Stegostoma tigrinum: one gene and its partners. The protein of the gene in region 1 interacts with the protein of each later gene in a pairwise test. Links are inferred from orthologs where the notes say so. Each region holds a gene or a part of one and is shown on either strand. Other genes may lie near its edges. The genes, in order: meox1, endonuclease 8-like 2 and cwf19l2.

Region 1 (6,922 bases):
AGACCAACCAAGTTTATAAGGAATCGTAATTTGGAAAGAAAGCAATGTGAGTAATACATACAAAAATGACTGTGTTTTCTAAAAACTATGAATGCTCGCAACACTAGTCAATCACCAAAGCTGAACTGGTTACAATGAAAATACATTATTCAAGCATATTTCCCACTTACAACTGAAGTAGAATGTATCAAATAAAACAATTGTATCTGGTGAAGGGCTACCTAGAACACTTGCATCACTTTCACTCCTCAAAAAACTTGCAAACTTTTAGAAAATTTCTAAAATTCCAAATAATCAAGCTTAGACATTATTAATTTTGTGAAACAAAATTACAAAAATGTTAAAATTAATGAGCAAAAACATTGACTCCAAGTTACAGAAAACAAGCACAAATCAAATTAGAATAAGAAGTTATTTTCTTTCATTGCATAAATCATTTAAATTTTCTGAAATTAAAATAATTTTGAATCATTTTGAATTTGGAAAGCTTCCCTCCTCCAAATCAGAAAGTTCAATGAGTTTTTTTTAAATGTTGGTATTTTAGGTGATATGGAATTAGATTTTCCTTGAATGATGTCTATATTTGAAATATTCATACATACTGCACTTACAATATCTCCAGTTCTACTGTATCACCATCTTTCAGCACTTTTCATTTAAGCCGTAAATATACTACTATCTAATGCAGTCCACCAAATCTCACAATTAACTTCATGGCATTTAATACTTGCAAGTGGTTGACTTAGATGTGTTTTATTTGTTAGGGTTTTTCATTAAATTACCATCTTCCTGATTCACTGTTTAAAACACATGAAACATTATAGTTTTAAAGAAAGACCAAAGTTGTAGGAACCATTATGCTAATGTTTGCCTTTCTGTATTTTCAAATGAAATTTGATTTATTTTCTTCAAAAAGTTATTTTGCATGTACATACTACATCACCCACTTAAAAGGTGAAGGTTAATACTAATTTTCAGGCATATCTGAAGCTAGAATATTAAATGGATGCCATCATTTTTTTCATAAATGAGTGCCCTACTATGCTCATTCTGTTCTCAATTTTAGGCTTAAGTTCTATTACATATTAGTACCTGGTACTCTTTAAAATACAAATTAAACTTTGATAATGCAAAACATATGCTGATTTTATGGAAGAAATTTTGGAATATTCTTTGTGCTAATGTGGATTATGTTCTTAAAAACTGCACAAGTATTGTTATAAGATTGAGAATAACTCAAAACATAGCAAATGGTGAAATACAGGAGTCGGTCATATGGTTGAAACGTAATCAGTGAGTTTAAGTGTCAAAAATGAGCAAGAAAGTTTGAATAATTTAACCAAACTGAACTGATATTGGATTTGAATATTTGCTTTCTCTATAGTTATCCATTTCAATACTTTCAGTAAACATTTGTCTTTTGAGAGAAGATTTGAAGGTGTTTCAGATGCCTATGTAACAGGTTCTGAGAATGATGTAAAACTACATGTTATCCACCTAACAGCTAGGAAAGCTGAGGTGCCACTCGCATCCTTTGTGCAGAACTGGTCCAAATCAAGTGATCTTAATGAATGGGATTTGACAACATACAACATGTATATTCAGTTTGGATATAAGGATACTGGTAACCTCCTGATCTTTTTTTTGTTTGCAATTGGGATGATTCCCTGTTTTGTACCTGATTAGGTACCAGTTGGTCCCATTATATCTCCTTATCAGCAATACTCTTGTTTTTGTTATTGAGAATTCTGAATGCACTTCGTTGTATTCGGATGAACTGGGATGGATGAAATGGTTGTCAGGTTAATGGACCAGGGACTAGTCATTTACTGCTCCAACTAACTGAGCTTTGGGGAACAGCTTTTCAATACTAATTCTACTGGTGAACGAAAGGGTAATTTCAAATGAGTGAAATTAGAAACGGCACTGAAATTAATTTTCATAATATTTCAATAACTATTGAAATGTAAGAAACCAGGCTAAAACATTTTTCTCTCATTTCATCTTGTTACAGATGCAACTTTTTTGCAGCTAATTAACTTTTTTTGACAGGTGTGGAAGACCCACAAATAAAGTTTTATCGTTTATAAACTGCATCACTGCAAATGTAATAACGCAGACTCAAAACTTTCAATGGTTTTGGAAAGAAGTCTATTTGGGATTGACCATTTCCTTTTAATTTTGGGCTAAAAAGTGGATTTGAGATCTGCCGTTTTGTTTTTGGTTTGTTGCGGGATTGGGACGAATATAATTCTTCAAAACAAATGAGAATTTGATGCAAGCGATGTTTTGTTATATAAAAAGAAACAAACTTTTACAAGAGTCCCCTGTAGGGTGGAACACACTGTATTTTACTTTGGAAAGCATGTTGCTGGAGTTTTTCTTTAAAAAAGAATCGATATTTAATTTCATGCTTTATTGGGAATAACAATGTGTCTCTCACCTAAAACGTCGCGTTTCCTTTTGGTTACTTTCTTGTCGATGTCGGACGCCGCGATACCCCGCGGGCTACTGTAATCCCCAGCGCTAAGGCAGCCGGCCGCTTGCGAGTTCCCACCGGTTTCGAAATTGGCGGAGCTGGCGGACAGGCAGGAAGTTTGTCTCTCCCTGGCCGCCGTCGGGGCGGGAGGGGGTGGGGCCGGCGGCGGCGGAAGGTGCCACTCGGAGCGGGGGAACCTGGGCGGGTGGTGGTCCACGTAAACGCGGTCCTCTGCGGGGAAGCCGTGCGCCGCTGACACCAGGCACGGCGACGTGAATTCCGAGTAGGCGGTGAAGTCGGCGGGGTCGGACTTCTTGTAGAAGGAGAAAGGCGACGGGTAATGGTGCAGGCCGGGCACGCCGGCCCCGGAATGTGGATTTCTCATACAGCCCCAGACGGTGGCCCCGGAATGCGAATTGCGCATGCAGCTGCCTGTGCTCTGTTCCATGGAGAAGTTGCAAGATGCTCTGTGCACCAGAAAGTGCTTTAAATCCTACAACTCTGCAAAAAAACAAAAATGCAACGATCTTAGCCACTTCAAACCTTCAATTAGCAATTTGCAAAGATCACAAGTTTTTCCTTTTTAAAAAAAAACAAATTGCTGACATGCCTGCACTCTATGAGCCTGACTCCCTCTGAGTGCTTTGGTGGGAAAAGTGACAAGTTTATAGTGTGTAATGTGAGAGGGGCGGGGTTGAGCACCACATGTTGGATTACTCCAACCAAGGAAAACATTGCTGCGATTAATCACGAGCATTACTGTATGCGCAGAAATTTTATATGCACAACTTAATGGCTTTTTCAGACCAGGGACATCACAGACATTTGAAAGCCAGACAGCAGTGTCCCTCCCCAGGTTGTTTTTTTGTGGGGGAAAAAGACGCACATGAACACGTTTGATACAATTTAGAACTGTATCTCAGGAATAGCCTTTGCCTCTCGAACAGTCCAGGGCAGCCACAACACGCACCAATTTTTGGAATAATTCACGTAAAGGTTAAAGTTAAGCACAGCCAAAGTGGGGTAGAAATCATAATGTTAAGCTTCTTTACAATACTCTATTGGGCTGAATAACCTACCTCTGCTCCAATGTTTTATGCTTTAAAGGTTCAGATGATGCCAGTGACTGCATTGAGCTATATTTGTTCAGTGGGTTTACAAAGGTCATGCAACCCTGAGAATCTTCAAAGCGCAAGTATTAAACTTTTTATTCTGTCTGTTCTAGGATGCATAATTTTAATCAAAATAATGTTAGCAAAAACATAGTACTTTTATGTAGTGCCCTTATAACATAGAATAACTTTACAAGGTGCTTCACAAGGACATAATCAGTTGATACTAAGCTAGAAAAGAGCAATGAAGATCAATGGCCAAAATCTGGATGGAAAGGTCTTCAAAAGAAAGAGAGAGAGGAATCATAGAATAGAATCCCTACAGTGTGGGAGCAGGCCATTTGGCCCACTGACTCTCTGAAGAGCATTGCAACCAGACTTATCCCCCTACCCTATCACTGTACCCTGCACTCCCCATGGCTAGGCCACCCAACTGACACATCCCTGGACATCACAGCACGGCCAATTCACCTAAACTGCACATCTTTGGACTGTGGGAGGAAACTAGAGGAAGCCCGCACAGACATGGGGTGAATGTGCAAACCCCACACAGACAGTTGCCTGAGGGTGGGATCGAATCTGGGACGCTGGAGCTGTGAGACGGCAGTGCTAACCAATGAGCTACAGCGCCGCCCCTGCTGAGATGGCTTAAGGCACAGAGAAGTGATACTACATTCAAAGAAGTAAGGGAGGGATGTATATTGTGCCAGAATTGAATGAATGCATGGTTTTTAGAAGGTTTGAGGAGGTTACAGACTTTATTTTCATTCATACGATGTGGTGTAGCAGGCTGGGTCCATCCCTAATTGAACTGAGTCATTCACTCAGCCATTTCAGAGGGCATGGAAGAGTAAACCATATTATAGTGGATCTTGCATCATATATAGGCCAGACTGGGTCTAAACTAGAGGGCAGGGGTTTAAGCTGAGAGGGGAAAGATTTAAAAAGGACCTGAAGAGTAACTTTTCACACACAGGATGGTGCATATATGGAACACATCACCAAAGGAAGTGGCAGAGGTGGGTACATTACAAAATTTAAAAAGGCATCTGGATGGGTACATGAATAGGAAGGATTTAGAGGGATATGGCCCAAATGAGACTAGGTTAGACTGAGATATCTAATTGGTGCAGAGAAGTTGAACCAAAGGGCCTGTTTCCATGCTATATAATTCTATGATAGTAGTTTCCTTCCCTAATAAGCATAGAGTGTACTAGATGGGAGTTTTCAACAACAGTTTCATGGTCAAATTAGGTTTCTAATTCCAAATTTTGATTTATTTTCAAATTCAGATTGCACCATTACCAGGGCAGGATTTGAACCCATGTCCACAGGACATGACCTGGGTCTCTGGATTAGTAGTCGAGTAATAATATCACTAGTCTATTACCTCCCCTTGTCAGAGAGGTGCAGAGTCATAAAGGAACTAAAGTATAACAATGTGAAACTAAAATAAATAGGGATGCTGAAAATCCTATTTAAAAAGACGCACATGAACACGTCAGAAATTGCTGGAAAAACTCAGCAGGTCTGAGAACAGTTCTGAACAAGGGTCACTGGACCCAAAAGGTTAACTCTGATTTCTCTCCGCTATGCTCAGACCTGCTTCATTTTTCCAGCAATTTCTGTTTTTGTTTATAAGTTTGGGAATTTTAAACATTGGTTGATCAGGAGCTAACATATTTTGGGCATGGCTGATGGGTGAACAGGACTGAGCATGAGCAAGAGAAAACATAAGAAGCATTTGTTATTTACATGACTATATCTTGTAGCTATATCATTGCAAAAAAATGTCATTTTTTTTCTTTATCAGGAAACTAGTCAGCAGAGATTGTCGCTATATTTTATGAATATTAAAATATGAATTTACAGGAATTGTTTTATATTAGACTATGGGTTTATTTACTGTTATGGTAAATTTCAAAAACCTTATACAGTGTTTTTGACCCACGGTCCTTTACCTGTATTCGTCATTTTAAATTTCAGACCTTGTGAAGAGAAGAAGAATAAAGTTACATTGGTTACATAACATGTGTTGAGCTGGAAGTATCCTGCAGTCTGTAATTAATAAAACCCAACAGTGACTTTTAATTGCTCAATTACAAAGGCGCAGACCTCCAAGCGGTAGATCTAGCCTTTTGAAACTTCAAGATTTCACAGAGCCAATTATTGCGCATGAATTTTAAGGACCCAATGTATCAATAAAGTGGAGTTTGACAACTTTTATTGATTTTATTAGGCAAGACAGAAAATGACAAAAGAAATGTTACCTACTTTTAGAATCACTACCATGAAAATAACCCACAAATGTGCTAGCAATGTTTCCCCAACTAAAATGGAAGTTTTATTAGGATGTTTAAGAAAATATCTTTCCATTGAGTTATCAATTATTTCAGATGAAATTGGCGGTTGTGGAAAGATTTTTAAGAGTAGAAGATTGAGTGTCAACTTTTAAAAACCAAATATCTACAGAGATCTCAAAGGCAACAATCATGAAAATTAGGTTGTTCTAAGCATCTTGGGACTGAGTCAGTTTGAAACTGTGCCTGTATGAGACCATTACTCTAACCTCTTGACTTTCTTATGTTGAAAATAGAGGATCCAAAAGGCTCACTTTTATGGCTGCATTTGTGCCTGACCGTTGATGGCTCTGCATGCTGATGATTAGCTTCTAAGAGTTAAGTGCCTTAAAGGAGTGGAGATGTGTGTTTGTGTTGGGACGGTCTTTCTTGTGGGAGACATTTTGTCACATTTATATGTAAAGGACTGGGTAGAAACAACTTGCAAAGTGGCATGTCACTGTATATCGTATGGCATCTGATGACACAATATCATTTTACAGGTTAACTAAAATATTATTAAAATAACTATAAGAATATTGTTTCATGCACCACTACAGGCGACAGAGGTATCATAGTTGACATGCCAACATTCCTAGGTGTCCACCCCATTGATGATGCATTAAATTTTCAGTGAATAGTCCTGGAACACAGCCTCCCCTGAATTTTGATGACACAGCCCTTTTAAAATTGATTTAAACTAAAATCAAATTTCTACAGGCACTAGTCTTTTATGCAGTGGAAAGAAACCAAATAATAGTGCTGTTATCATAAAAAGAATGTACATCCAATAATGCAGAATAGCTCCTTTAAATCCTATGTTTTGTCTTTCTTAATCAATTTACATTGTAATCGTCCAAATTCAGAGTATTGCCTCTTGGTTAATTGCACAATCGCAGTCACCTTTTATACACAGAGCCCATTTACCATAAAGAAACGATGTAATTGGCAAATGTAATAGACTACTTTGTCTCAGAAAGGTAGTTGTCAAT
Region 2 (7,928 bases), on another chromosome or scaffold:
CTCCAGCATCTACTGTTCCTACTATCTCTGTAGAAATTAATGAATTATTTTCACATTAGCAGGCAGTAACTAGTGGGGTGCCACAGGGATCAGTGCTGGTGTCAGGCTCGTTTTCAGAGACCCTCACGGACTTGCTGCAATAACAAGACACTGACCTGTTTGGAAAAACACAAATCCTTTTATTACCAAGCAAGTACAAGCTGTGGAGAATCACGGTACTCGACCCGGCACAGAGTACAGAGTCTCGCAAGTAATTCTCTCCGAGCAGCGGACAGTCCCCGCTTTTTATACTTTACAAAAGACATGATACATAAAACGATTTCATAATTTACAATGGCATGATACATAAAACAATTACTACAACAGACAAAAACAGGATACCAAACAATTATTCCATCAACAAAATAAAAGACCAGGATATAGTATTGATTGCTAGTGAAGTAGCTGCTAATGGCAGGAGGCGATTTTGAGTTGTGAGTTCAAGTTGCCAGTGTGTCTGGCTAGAACAGTCAGTGCCCTGGCCCCTTTGTCAGCAACAGAAGTTACATGCTTTAGAGGTTTCACGCCTTTACAAATTTTCCCCACCTAACCCATTTGAAACAGTTTGATTCTAATTTTAATTCAGTCAGGAAGCTTAAGACAGTGTCTGCGTACCGATGTGTGAGAAGACAAGGAGTTACAAAAGCTTTACACTGAATTCCTAGCTAGGCAGGAAGCTTCAGGGCAGTGCCTGCATACCGATGTGTAGGTAGATAAAAGACTTTACTTCTATAAATTAAAGTCTCTGTATAGGAATAAAATGCAGATAAAAGACTTGAATTTATAAAAGTATAGAAATCAATGGCATGTATTCACATTAACATCTCACTGGGACCCCAGCTATTCATAATATATATGAATAATTTGGATAAGGGAACAAAGTGTAACATCTCCAAGCTTGCAAATGATACGAAGTTGGGTGGGTGGGTAGGGGGTGGTGGCGGGGACTTGCTGAGGATACAGAAATCCATCAGCATGATCACTACAGGTTGGGTGAGTGGGCAAATCGATGAAAGATAGCATATATTTTGGATAAATGTGAGATTATTCACTTCAGAAGCAAAAACAAGGTGGCAGATTACTACCTGAATGGCTGTAAATTGGGAGAGGGGAGCGCGCAGCGGGACCCAGGTGTCCTTGTGCACCAGATGCTGAAGGTAAGCATGCAGGTGCAGCAGGCGGTAAAGACGGTAAATGGTATGTTGGCCTTCGTTGCGAGAGGTTGAGAGTACAGGAGCAGGGATTTGTTGTTGCAGTTATACGGGGCCTTGGTGACACTGTACCTAGAACATTATTTGGTATCCTTTTCTGAGGAAGGATGCTCTAGCTTTCGAGGGAGTGCAGTGAAGGTTTACCAGGCTGATTCTGGGGGTGATATATGAGGAGGGATTGACTAGGTTAGAATTGTTTTTGCTGGAGCTCAGATGAATGAGGGAGGAGTCTCATAGGGACGTATAAAATTCTAACAGGACTGGACAGAGTAGATGCAGGGAAGAAGTTCCCGATGGTGGGTGTGTCCAGAACCAGGGGTTACAGTCTGAGGATTTGTGGGAGACCATTTAGGATGGAGATGAGGAGACATTTCTTCACCCAAAGAGTGGTAAGTCTGTGGAATTCATTACCACAGGAAGTAGTTGATGCCAAAACATTGAATGTATTCCAGAGGTGACTAGATATAGCACTTGGAGGTGAATGGGATCAAAGGTTATGGAGAGAAAGCAAGATTAGGCTCTTGAGTTAGTCAATCAGCCATGATCATGAAGAATGGTGGAGTAGGCTTCAAGGGCTGAATGGCCTCCTCCTGCTCCTATCTTCTAGATTGGGACCCAAATCTACTCACAATATCCAAAGGCAGTGGCAGAGCCATATACAAATTCAGCAGTACATCTCTGCTCCTGTATTCTCGCCCTCTTGAAATGAATACTAACACTGCATTTGCATTTCTAACTGCCAACTGAAGCCACATATTCACCTTAGAGAAACCCAAACTAGGACTCCCAAGTACCTTTTCTGCTTCAGATTTCCAAAGTCTTTTCCCATTAAGAAAATAGTCTACACCTCTATCCTTCCTGACAAAATGTAAAGCTTCACAATTTATCACAATATATTCGATCTGCTGCTTCTTCTCCTATCCTGTCCAAGTCCTTCTGCGGTCTTTGACAGCATGAACTGCAGATGCTCGAGTCAAAATCAACACAGTGTGAATCTGGATGAACGCAGCAGGCCAGGCAGCATCAGAGGAGCAGGAAAGTCATTGTTTCAGGTCAGGACCTTTCTTCAGAAGTGGGGACGGGAAAGGGAGCTGGGAAATAAATAGAGGGAGGAGGGTTGGGGCTGGGGGAAGGTATGTGGGATGGTGATAGGTGAGTGCAGGTAGGACATGGTGGGGATTGGTCAGTAGGAAGGGTGGGGCAGATTGGTGGGGAGGAAGATGGACAGGTAGTGTCAGACCAAGGAGGCAGGAGGAGGGTGGGGCCGAGGAGAGGTAATTTGAATGGTAATAACCTGTCCAAGTCCTTCTGCACTCTTCCCGCTTCCTCAATACTACCTGTCTCTAACTCTTTTCATGTCATCTACCTGGCAATAATGTCCCCAGTTCCCTCATCCAGATTGTTAATGTGAACAGTTGTGATACTAACACTGACCCCTGTGGAACTCCACCAGTCACTGGTTGTTATCGTGAAAAAGATCCCTTTATCCCCACTCTCTGTTTTCTGCCAGGCAGCCAATCCTCTATCCATTCCAGTACCATGCCCCGAATGCCATGGGCTCTTTTTTTTATTTAGCAGCCTCCTGTTCAGTGCCTTGTCAAAGGCCTTCTAAAAATCCAAATTGATCACTTCCCCTGGTTCTCGTCTGTCTAACTTAAACATTATCTACTCAAAGAATTCTAGTAGATTTGTCAGACATGATCTCTTCTTGATAAAGCCATGCTGACTTAGATCTGTTTGACTGTGCTGTCCCAAGTACTGCACAGAACCCCAGGGAATATACATAAATGATCTGGAGGAAGGTGTAGATGGTCTGATCAGCAAGTTTGCAGATGACACTAAGTTTGGTGGGGTATCAGATAGTGAAGGACACTGTCAGAGAATGCAGCAGAATATAGATAGACTGGAGAGTTGGGCAGAAAAATGGCAGATGGAGTTCGATCCAGGCAAATGCGAGGTGATGCATTTTGGAAGATCTAATTCAAGAGCGAACTATGTGGTAAATAGAAAAGCCCCTGGGCAAAATTGATGGATAGAGAGATCTGGGTGTTCAGGTCCATTATACCCTGAAGGTGGCAACGGAGATCGATAGAGTGGTTAAGAAGGCATACGGCATGCTTTCATTCATCGGGCAGGGTATTGACTACAAGAGTTGGAATACTGTGTACAGTTCTGGTCGTCACATTACCAAAAGGATGTGGATGCTTTGGAGAGAGTGCAGAGGAGGTTCACCAGGATAATAGGAACTTCAGATGCTGGAAAATCCAAGATAATATAGTGTGTAGCTAGATGAACACAGCAGGCTAAACAGCATCTTAGGAGCTGGAAAGCTGATGTTTCGGGCCCAGATCCTTCATCAGAAATGGGGGAGGGGAAGAGGGTTCTGAATTAAATAGGGAGAGAGGGGGAGTTGGATTGAAGATGGATAGAGGAGAAGATTGGTGGAGAGGAGACATGATGAAGGAGACTCTGATGAAGGGTCTAGACCCGAAACGTCAGCTTTTGTGCTCCTGAGATGCTGCTTGGCCTGCTGTGTTCATCCAGCTTCACACTTTGTTATCTTGGATTCTCCAGCATCTGCAGTTTCCATTATTTCTGGAGAGGAGACAGACAGATTAAAGAGGCAGGGATGGAGCCAGTAAAGGTGAGTGTAGGCGGGGAGGTAGGGAGGGGATAGGTCAGTCCAGGGAAGACGGACATGTCAAGAGGGTAGGATGAGATTAGGAGGTGGGAAATGGCAGTGCGGCATGAGGTGGGAGGAGGGCATAGGTGAGAGGAAGAACAGGTTAGGGAGGTCGGTACGAGCTGGGCTGGTTTTGGGATGCAGTGGGGGGAGGGGAGATTTTGAAGCTTGTGAAATCCACATTGATACCATTGGGCTGCAGGGTTCCCAAGCGGAATATGAGTTGCTGTTCCTGCAACCTTCGGGTGGCATCATTGTGGCACTGCAGGATGTTGCCTGGTATGGCGGGCACTTGCTATGAAGAGAGTTTAAGTAGATTAGGATTATTTTCATTAGAAGATGGAGATTGAGGGGGGACCTAATTGAGGTCTACAAAATCATGAGAGGTGTAGACAGGTTGGATAGCAAGAAGCTATTTCCCCAGAGTGGGGGACTCAATTACTAGGGGTCACGATTTCAAGGTGAGAGGGGAAAGGTTTAAGGGAGATATGCGTGTAAAGTTCTTTATGCAGAGTGTGGTGGGTGCCTGGAACGCGTTGCCAGCAGAAGTGGTAGAGACAGGCATGATAGCGTCATTTAAGATGTACCTAGGCTGATACATGAATGGGCAGGGAGCAGAGGGATACAGATCCTTGGAAAATAGGTGACAGGTTTAGACAGAGGATCTCGATCGGCACAGGCTTGGAGGGCTGAAGGGCCTGTTCCTGTGCTGTAATTTTCTTTGTTCTTTGAAGAGGAACCACAAGGCAAGCACTCTGATGAGTCATCTACTCTTGAAATGATGGCTTGCTTGCTCTCTATGGATATTGTTTGACCTGCCATGACTTATGTTTTCAGCACAAGGGGAACAAACTCCCCTGAACCTGGGAGGATGGGCCACAGGGAGACCACACCCACTGGGGAAATGGCCTCAGGGAAACCACACCCCCTGGGAGGATGGGCCACGGGGAGACCACAATCCCCTGGGAGGAGGGTCCTCTCAGAATATACCATTCTGACAGCACTCTGTGATTGGTTTGCTTTTTGCATTTATTGTATGCCAATCCCCGTTGCCTGCCTTTTGTCTCATCCTTTGAGCCAAGTCAAAGCATTGAATTCTGGTGCTTGGTCAATTGTTTGCAGGTTTTCTGCTTGAAGACAAGTTGGGGATAGAGTCACTGTTGTTGAGGCCTTGTTCTGCAGACAGTACAGCGGAGTGATAGTTGTCTGTGTAAGGGAGATGCCGGAAGGCCCTTCAGTGAGAGTGTTTCATTCTGTGACCTCCCCTTTCGTTGGCAAAGTTGTGCAGAGAGCCTCGGGGAGCACCAGACAGGTGTGTCTGCAACAATTTGTGGGTCTCAGACTGCAGCACAGTGAAGTGAGTATGATTTGTTCCTTTCTTTTTGCACTTTGATCTTACTTCTCTTTCCATTTGTTTTATTATTTGTGTAGGGATTGTGGGTGTTGCTGGCTGAGCCAGTATTCATTGGCTGGCCCTAGGTGCACTTGAGAAGGTGATGGTGAACTGCCTTGAACCACTGCAGTCATTTTGGTGTAGGTTGCTATTAGTGAGAGAGTTCCAAGATTTTGTCCTAGTGACAGGAAAGGAATGGTGATATATTTCCAAGTCAGGACGGTGAGTGGCTTGGAGACGAACCTGTGGGGGTAGTGAGCCATGTACCTGCTACACCTGTCTTTCTCGATGGAAGTAGTTGTGGATTTGGACGTTGCTGCTGAAGGACCCCTATTGAATCACTGCAGTACGTCTTGTAGAGAGTGCACACTGCTCCTACTGAGTGTCATTGGCATCACATCCACAAACATTCACACCAACAACAGGGCTACTCTGTCCTGGAGTGTGTTGAGATCCTCGAGTGTTATTGGAGCTGCTCTATCCAGGCACATGGCGAGTATTCTATCACGCTACTGACCTGTGCTCTGTAGGTGGTGGACAGGCTTCGGGGTGTCGGTAGGTGAGTTACTTGCTATGGTATTCCTAGCCTCTGACCTGCTCTTGTAGTTCATCCAGCTCCACATCTTGTTATATCATATACTTATGTGGCTTGTGCAGTTGAGTTTCCGGTCAATAGTAACCCTGAGTGGTTAGATTGTGGGTTACTCTCTCACTTTGTTCCTCTCTCCCTTCCACCGTGACTCGTGCTTCATTTGTTGTTTGCTCTGTTTGGAACTTGCTGTGTTGTTTGTTTGGAATATCTCTGGTTTTGCTGGATATATGGTTAGTGTGCTCATTCCATCTAACTCACGGTCTTGGAATCTCTCTGTATGTCTAACACACTTGACTCCCAACACTGCCTTATGCTGTTTCTGATTAAAACTAAGTCTTTCTCTTTGGTTCAGGTCCATGGCAAAAATCTCTTCCTGGGCTTTGCTTCTGTTGGCCATAGACTGGAATCCAATTGTCCAAAACTAGGGATTGCACATGCCCAGAAGATGCCTGATCCAGCCTGGGTACCAGCACAGGGCTCCGCCAGCAAGCAACAAGTGATAGAGGGGGGCACCATGAGAAAAGAGCAGGAGGAGACTTGGGAAAGCAGTGCCCTGTCCTTGGGGCAAGACCAGTTGAACCATCAGCATGAAATGCAATGGCTGCGATTTCACTTTGGGATGTTTGGAAGTGTTCGGGCCAATGAGTTTTCACGGGCAAAAGGTGCCAATAAGAAGGGAGACTGGCAGGATCCATCACCAAGGTATGGTAAAAGCAAGTTGGTGAGAGAAATGGGGTTATCATCTAGGCTAATAAAACGTGAGGCTGGATGAACACAGCAGGCCCAGCAGCATCTCAGGAGCACAAAAGCTGACGTTTTGGGCCTAGACCCTTCATTAGAGAGGGGGATGGGGTGAGGGTTCTGGAATAAATAGGGAGAGAGGGGGAGGCAGACCGAAGATGGAGAGAAAAGAAGATAGGTGGAGAGGAGAGTATAGGTGAGGAGGTAGGGAGGGGATAGGTCAGTCCAGGGAAGACGGACAGGTCAAGGAGGTGGGATGAGGTTAGTAGGCAGGAAATGGAGGTGTGGCTAGAGCTGCCTTCAGAAATGGGGGGAGGGGAAGGGGGATCCCCCATTTCAGAAGAAGGGTCTAGGCCCAAAACATCAGCTTTCCTGCTCCTCTGATGCTGCTTGGCCTGCTGTGTTCATCCAGCTCTACACCTTGTTATCTAGGTATTTCTAGCCAGTTTTCTGTCATTTTTTTTTCTCCTCCCTCTTAATCATCGTTTGGCTGATATTTAATTAAAACTTTCTCAATCTACAAGTTTACAACCTTTGGTTCTTTTTAAATAAATACTGTTCTTAGAATTGCTGATGAACTTAATCTCTCTTCACCCCAGAGGGAGGTGGGCAGAGAGATGGGAGTTCAGGTCTGGATCAGGGTCAGACTATATTGTATTTTAATGAGAGTGATCCCCTTTTCATTGGGGAACTGCAAGCTCTCTGTGTTCAGACTAATAGGGAAAATCAGCTCTCACCCTGAGCACCCAGAGGGGCAACAGGCCACAGGACCCTTATCTGGTTTGAGGAAGTAAACAGAAGTCAGAGGACAGAATAGTGTGAATGAGGAGGTTGAAATTCTGAGTGGAGTTCTGTGAGGAGAGATGCTAATCATTCTCTTCACCTCTCTCTCTCTCTCTCTCTCTCTCTCTCTCTCTCTGTGTCAACAGGTTGGTGCTCTATTTCCCCGGAGAGCAGTTTCTTGTGTTCTATAACTGCCGGATCTGTCTCTGCAGCAGCCCTTCCTCTGGACATACCTCTGACATCCTGCACCCGAAGTTCGACAGGAATGTGGCACTACAGGCACTGAAACAAGCTCAGCCTGTCTGCTACACCCTGCTCAACCAACAGCTGTTCTCTGGCCTTGGTCAGTAACACATTCCAGACTATTAACAGATGGTGGTAGGAAAGTAGTTTGTGAAGGGAGAAGCTGGGCATGTTTGATATTTGTGTTTACTGTTTTACCTCGGTCAGGAGTTGATTGTTCCCACGTTCTTGTGCCTTTGCCGG
Region 3 (7,479 bases), on another chromosome or scaffold:
CCCCAGCACTTCCTCTTCTGTAATGTGAATTTTTTTCAAAACATCACTATTTATTTCCCAAATTCTCTAGCCTCCATTCCTTTCTCAATAGTAAGAACTATTGCGAAATCTTCATTCAGTATCTCTTCCATCTCCTGAGGTTCAACATATAGATAGCTTTATTGATCATTATGGGGCTTGATTCACTCCCTAGCTTTTGCTGTTAACATACTTGCAGACTCTCTTCAGATTATCCTTAAACTTATCTGCCTAGGCTATCACATATGATCTTTTTGCCCGAGATAACAAGGTGTAGAGCTGGATGAACACAGCAGACCAAGCAGCATCAGAGAAGCAGCAAGGCTGACATTTTGGGCCTATACCCTTCTTCAGCCTTCCTGCACCTCTGATGCTGCTTGGCCTGCTGTATTCATCCAGCTCTACTCCTTGTTATCTCAGATTCCCCAGCATCTGCAGTTCCCATGGCCCCTTCTCTTTTTGCCCTCCTGATTTCCCTCTCAAGAATGACTCTACACTCTTTATACTCTTCAAGGCATTCATTAGATCCCAGCTGCCCATATCTAATGTACGACTCTTATTCTTAACCAGAACCTCAATATCTTTATTCATCCATTGACCCCTACTCTTATCAGCTTTGCCCTCCACTCTAATAGGAACAGAGTTCCTCTAAACTCTCATGAGCACACCATTAAAAGCTTCCACTTGTCAAATTGCATGGTGTTCTATCTATAAATATAACACCTCCTTTACAGGCATTTTTGATTAACTGGCACCATCTCCTGGAGCATATAGTTTTCTTACATAAAGGCGAATATTAGGATCTAAAATGAACTGCCTTAGTGTGTTGTGCAGCCAAACAGATTAGGCCTTTCAAAATGAAACTAGATAAACAACTGACAATAAATGATTTGCAGTGTTAAAGAAAAAAGAGCAAGGGAATTGAGCTAGGTGATCTTTCCTGTGCAGACTTAGGAAGGCAAATGGTCTCCTTTGGTGCTATAACCATTTCCTGTTTCTACGAATACGTGTATATTGTTGTAAAATACTAATTTTTTTTACAAAAAGCTACCAATTTTAACTTCTGACTTGAATTCAGATGAATTAACAAGGCTGAAATCTTGATCAAGTGCTGCAATATCTTGCCACTATGCTTCACCAACTCACATAACAATTTATTTCATCGCGAATGCGAGGAATGCACAGAAAACAGCTTTACTTAAAAAGGGCCAAAGTACAAAATATTTAGATTTTACTTCAGTTTTCCTTTCCTCCTATAATATTTTTCCTGCTGAAGATATGCACATGAGAACATGCAAAATTAGGAGCAGGCCATTCACCACCTCGCCTCCAAATCATCAAGTACATAGGATGGCGTGTAGAGGGTGGGCCTTTGTTGGAAAGGGAATGAAGGTTAGAATTAGGGCACTGAGAAGTTCACACCTGAAATACTCTATAGTTTTGTTCCCTTACACAAGGTAAGATATACCTGCATTACAAGCAGTTCAGAAAAGCACAATGATTCTGAGGGAGCTTAACAGGGCAGATGTTAAGAGGATTTTCTTTTGCGCTCACATGAGAATTTAGAATTCAAACAAGTACGTTCAAAATTAGATGTCATCCATTTGTGACAGAGATGAGCAGCAAATCTTCTCTGAGGATTCTTAATCTTTGAAATTCCCTTCCACAGAGCAGTGGGGTCACTATGTTCAAGGTAGAGTTAGACAGATTCTTGATAGACAAGGGAGTCAAGGGCTGTGAGGGATATGTAAACATATGAACTGAGGCAACAGTAAGCCTTTAAGCCCCTCAATCCTAGATTCCATTCAATAAAATCATGGCAGATTGGATCACTCCACATTCCTGTCTACACACAACAGCCTTTCACCCACTTGTTCACCAAGAACTTGTCTACCTTTACCTTAAAAATATTCAAGGGCTCTGCTTCCACAACATTTTGGGATCCAAAAACTCATAACCCGCAAAAAAATCTTATCTGCCCAAAATAGGTGACCCCTTATTTTTAAGATAGTTAGATCTATGAGTCACTTTGCTTACAAAGAAGAAACAACCTTTTCACCTGCAATCTGTCAAGACCCTCAGGATCCTGAATATTTCAACCAAGTGCATCTTACTCTTCTAACTCCTGCAAAATCAAGCCTAGCCTGTCCCAATATTTCCTCAGAAGACAATTTGTCCATTCCAGATATGAGTTTAGCAAGGGTGCTTTTACCTCCTTCCTTAAAAAGGAAACTAATACTGTACAAAGGACTCCAAATGTATACTCACCAATGCTCCACATAACTGAAGTATAATCTACCAACGTTTATATTCAATTCCCCTAACAATAAATAATAACATTTTCTTGTTATCCTACTTAGTTGTTGCACCCGCTCAATAATATTTTGCAACTCATGCACTTGGACGCTTAGATCCCTCCAAACCTAAGAGTTCAGCAATCTCTTACTGCTTAGACAATATGCTTTTTTATTCTTCCTGCCAAAATCGACAATTTTGTATTTCCGCACGTTATACTCCGTTTGCCAGATCCTTGCCCATTCATTGGAGTCTACAACATTTGGCAGCCTCCTTACGAGCACTTTACAACTTGCATTACTAATTATTTTTAAATTTAGCAGCTATATCTTCAATCCCTTCATCCAAGCCATATCTATAAACTAAAAATAAGGACACCCCAGCACTTTTTAATTGACACGAATAAACTAATTAAATACAAACAGTAAAGGTTAACTTTATAAGTGAATTCACCCAACCCTTGCGAAGTTGACATTCCTCGGGCTGTCAACAACGCCGTAAGCTATTTGGCCTCTCGCTGTGTTTACTATGGGTGATGGGGAGGGGGCTCGGTTAAAAGTGTTAGATCGTCTGCGTCCTGGTCACGGCTGATGCAAACAAATAGACAGAACTGAGACAATACCTTGGTCACAATTTCCTCTCTCGCTTTTCGTTTAAATTCTCTTCGTTCCTCGATTGCTTTCGCACTTTCAAACCTGCCTCCGTATTCCGCCATCTTGCCTTTACCTTAGCAACAAGAACTTTTACGACAGCCGTCGTGAAGATTCGCCGGTGTCCCGGAAGCTGCGCGCGCACACTTGGAAGAATTGTTGCTTTCTTCTCCTTTTCAGTTGTTTATACGAGAATTAGATATAAACAAAAACAGAAGTTATTGGAAAAGCTCAGCAGGTCTGGCAGCATCTGTGAAAAATAGTCAGAGCGTTCTGAGGAAAGGCCACTGAACCCGAAACGTTAACACTGATTTTTTTTCCTTCACAAATATTGCCAGACCTGCTGACCTTTTCCAGCAACTTATGTTTTTGTTTCTGATTTACAGCATCCTCAGTTCTTTCGGTTTTAATTGGATATAAACGTTCATTTCTAGTATCAAAATATATGCTAGTGCAAAAGAAAAGTCAAATTTTGTCAGATTTTAAAATCTACAGTTTAGTGTCAACTGAGGAATAATAAGCAAAACTTAAAAATTGGCAGATAACAAAGTGTGGAGCTGGATGAACACAGCAGGCCAAGCAGCATCTCAGGAGCACAAAAGCTGACGTTTCGGGCCTAGACCCTTCATCAGAGAGGGGGATGGGGAGAGGGTTCTGGAATAAATAGGGAGAGAAGGAGAGGCGGACTGAAGATGGAGAGAAAAGAAGATAGGTGGAAAGGAGAGTGTAGGTGGGGAGGGGATAGGTCAGTCCAGGGAAGACAGACAGGTCAAGGAGGTGGGATGAGGTTAGTAGGTAGGAGATGGAGGTGCGGCTTGAGGTCGGAGGAAGGGATGGGTGAGAGGAAGAACAGGTTAGGGAGGCAGAGACAGGCTGGGCTGGTTCTGGGATGCAGTGGAGGAAGGGGATGAGCTGGGCTGGTTGTGTGATGCAGTGGGGGGAGGGGACAAACTGGGCTAGTTTTGGGATGCAGTTGGGGAAGGGGAGATTTTGAAGCTGGTGAAGTCCACATTGATACCATTGGGCTGCAGGCTTCCCAAGCGGAATATGAGTTGCTGTTCCTGCAACCTTCGGGTGGCATCCTTGTGGCACTGCAGGAGGCCCATGATGGACATGTCGTCGAAAGAATGGGAGGGGGAGTTAAAATGGTTCGCGACTGGGAGGGGCAGTTGTTTATTGCGAACTGAGCGGAGGTGTTCTGCAAAGCGGTCCCCAAGCCTCCGCTTGGTTTCCCCAATGTAGAGGAAGCCGCACCGGGTACAGTGGATGCAGTATACCACATTGGCAGATGTGCAGGTGAACCTCTGCTGAATGTGGAAAGTTATCTTGGGGCCTCGGATGGGGGTGAGGGAGGGGGTGAGGGGGCAAGTGTAGCACTTCCTGCGGTTGCAGGGGAAGGTGCCGGGTTTGGTGGGGTTGGAGGGGAGTGTGGAGCAAACAAGGGAGTCAGAGAGAGAGTGTTCTCTCCGGAAAGCAGACAAGGGTGGGGGTGGAAAAATGTCTTGGGTGGTGGGGTTGGATTGTAGATGGCAGAAGTGTCGGAGGATGATGCGTTGTATCCGGAGGTTGGTGGGGTGGTGTGTGAGAACGAGGGGGATCCTCTTGGGGTGGTTGTGGCGGGGGCGGGGTGTGAGGGATGTGTTGCGGGAGACGCCGTCAAGGGCATTCTCGATCACTATGGGGGGAAAGTTGCGGTCCTTGAAGAACTTGTACATCTGGGATGTGCGGGAGTGGCATGTCTCATCCTGGGAGCAGATGCGGAGGAATTGGGAATAGGGGATGGAATTTTTGGAGGAAGGTGGGTGGGAGGAGGTGTATTCTAGGTAGCTGTGGGAGTCAGTGGGCTTGAAATGGACATCAGTTTCTAGCTGGTTACCTGAGATGGAGACTGAGGGGTCCAGGAAGGTGAGGGATGTGTTGGAGATGGCCCAGTTGAACTTGAGGTTGGGGTGGAAGGTGTTGGTGAAGTGGATGAACTGTTCGAGTTCCTCTGGGGAACAAGAGGCGGCGCCGATACAGTCATCAATGTAACAGAGGAAAGAGGTGGGGTTTGGGGCCTGTGTAGGTGCGGAAGAGGGACTGTTCCACGTAACCTACAAAGAGGCAGACATAGCTTGGGCCCATGCAGGTACCAATGGCCACCCCCTTTGTAGGAAGTGGGAGGAATCGAAAGAGAAGTTGTTGAGGGTGAGGACGAGTTCGGCTAGGCGGATGAGGGTGTCGGTGGAGGGGACTGGTCGGGCCTGTGGGACAGGAAGAAGCGGAGGGCCTTGAGGCCATCTGCATGAGGAATGCAGGTGTATAGGGACTGGATGTCCATGGTGAAAATGAGGTGTTGGGGGCCAGGGAATTGGAAGTTCTTCTTCTCACCCATCCCTTCCTCCCACCTCGAGCCGCACCTCCATTTCCTACCTACTAACCGCATCCCACCTCCTTGACCTGTCCGTCTTCCCTGGACTGACCTATCCCCTCCCTACCTCCCCACCTATACTCTCCTCTCCACCTATTTTCTTTTCTCTCCATCTTTGGTCCACCTCCCCCTCTCTCCCTATTTATTCCAAAACCCTCTCCGACGAAGGGTCTAGGCCCAAAATGTCAGCTTTTATGCTCCTGAGATGCTGCTTGGTTTGCTGTGTTCATCCAGCTTCACACTTGATTATCTTGGAATCTCCAGCATCTGCAGTTCCCATTATCTCTTAAAAATTGGCAGGTAGTTGCTTCTGAAGCATAGCTAGGAGGTGCACATCAGGACCGTACAGAGCCCCTGACAAGTAGACTCTAAGAAAAACCCTGAAACAAAATATTACTGCATAAACTCATCAGGACCAGCAGCATCTGTACAGAGATGTGGAGAGAAAGGCTTTCCAACATTCTGTACACCTGTTGAATAAAATTTTCCTGCCAGGTTTGGAATGAGGATTTACAGCATTATTTCGAGTTTCTTCCCCTGTTATGGTGTGCAGAGACTGTCCAACAGAGAGCTGTTCAGGCATACCTAAAAACACACGACCAACAGCTAATTGGTAACTGCCACCTTTGTGTCATGTTGTGACTGGGTTTGCAACTATTATGATCACACCCTAGTTGCCAGTAGCTAACTGACAAAAGACACTAGGGAATTTGCCATCCTTAGAAAAACCTATCTACTGTGTGTTTTATATTTTGCATATCTGAATCAGAACCGCAATGCCCTCAGCCTCCTCTGCTCCAAGGAAAATAAACCCAGCCTGTCCTCATTACTCAGACTTTTCCTCCTAGGCAACGTTTTGTTAAACCTCCCCTGCACACTCTACAATACAATCATATCCCTCATAATGTGTACTCTAGAACTGCACACAATACTCTAGCTATGGCTTTATGCTTTATATAGTTTCAGCTAACCTCCCCCCTCTTAACGTTCATGCCTTGTCTGATGTCGGATCTCTCTGTGACGTACAGGGTGATGCTTACACTTGTTCCTTTGGGTCACACTTTGACCTATCCAGCCCATGGGATCTCATCACGATCAAACAGGGAGTTACAAAACCCTTACTTTTCTGAGGTTTGGAGTATGCTAATATTCCAGAATGCACAAAGTTGTTCCAGATATAGACAGTAGGCTACACGAGTGACGGGATTGTGACAATTATTTGTGCATTCTCTTGTTGAGGCTTCTGCTGCAGTTTAATTGGCAATACTGGCATGGCAGCAGGACTCACGCAGAATTGCAGCAGCCTCCTGGTGGTCTGAGTTGGCAGCAGGAGGTAGTGATTGCTTCCTCTGATCACTGGGAGGAGCTGCAAAGACATGACTCCTTCTGGTGAATGATGCAAGGTTCACAAGCTGACCAAAATTCCAGGCAGTAGCTAGGCCCAGGTGGGTCCAAGTGGATCCAAACACTTGTATGGAGATAAGATTTAAATTTTTAACATTCTTTTATTTCTGCCAATGTTTTCTTTTTAAATTCTGGTTTTGTAACCAAGATGCCACTGGAGAAGGGTGACTTTGTACACTTTTCACTGTATGTTTTACTTGAGTACACATCAAAAAATTCTAATAATGGCATAATCCCATCTGCCTTCTCAACCACTCTAGCTACTTGTCCTGCTACCACTGTACATGCTCTGCAGGGTGCCCCGATCCTTGGTACTTCCCAGGGTACTACCATTCATCATGTCCAGGTGCATCACTTCAAACTTATCCAGATTGGATTACATTTGCCACCAATCAGCCTGTCTATATCCTCCTATAACCTAAGGTTAGCCCATTCACCCCACTGGAAACAGACTTCCAGTCTCAAACACAGCCCTCAACCACCACCCTCTCCTTCCTATCACTAAACCAATCCTGAAACCAACTTGCCAAATTTCTTTGGATGCCATGGGTTCTTACCTTCACGATCGGTCTCTCATTTGCAACTTTGTCAAAAGCCTTGCCATTCCAAATTGGCTGCATTAGAATGCATTGCCCTCTTCTACACAGCTGGTCACCTCTGAATTTTTCAATCATATTGGTCACAAATGGCATCTCCTTGACA

Evidence for each region.
Region 2: the proteins of meox1 (region 1) and endonuclease 8-like 2 interact in binary tests that used the Homo sapiens proteins (3 or more experiments, as listed by UniProt). The two-hybrid records come from large-scale screens. The link is inferred for Stegostoma tigrinum from reciprocal best matches to the Homo sapiens genes MEOX1 and NEIL2.
Region 3: the proteins of meox1 (region 1) and cwf19l2 interact in binary tests that used the Homo sapiens proteins (3 or more experiments, as listed by UniProt). The two-hybrid records come from large-scale screens. The link is inferred for Stegostoma tigrinum from reciprocal best matches to the Homo sapiens genes MEOX1 and CWF19L2.

The regions. Positions count from the first base shown.
Region 1 is NC_081384.1:16,804,090-16,811,011, forward strand, and holds the start of meox1 (homeobox protein MOX-1), read right to left. Parts: upstream 3,104-6,922; 5' UTR 2,928-3,103; coding exon 2,444-2,927; intron 1-2,443. UniProt on the Homo sapiens protein: Mesodermal transcription factor that plays a key role in somitogenesis and is specifically required for sclerotome development. Required for maintenance of the sclerotome polarity and formation of the cranio-cervical joints.
Region 2 is NC_081362.1:98,889,206-98,897,133, reverse strand, and holds the start of endonuclease 8-like 2, read left to right. Parts: upstream 1-4,892; 5' UTR 4,893-5,152; coding exon 5,153-5,290; intron 5,291-6,270; coding exon 6,271-6,620; intron 6,621-7,588; coding exon 7,589-7,785; intron 7,786-7,928. UniProt on the Homo sapiens protein: Involved in base excision repair of DNA damaged by oxidation or by mutagenic agents. Has DNA glycosylase activity towards 5-hydroxyuracil and other oxidized derivatives of cytosine with a preference for mismatched double-stranded DNA (DNA bubbles).
Region 3 is NC_081359.1:69,860,883-69,868,361, forward strand, and holds the start of cwf19l2 (CWF19-like protein 2), read right to left. Parts: upstream 3,035-7,479; 5' UTR 3,029-3,034; coding exon 2,936-3,028; intron 1-2,935.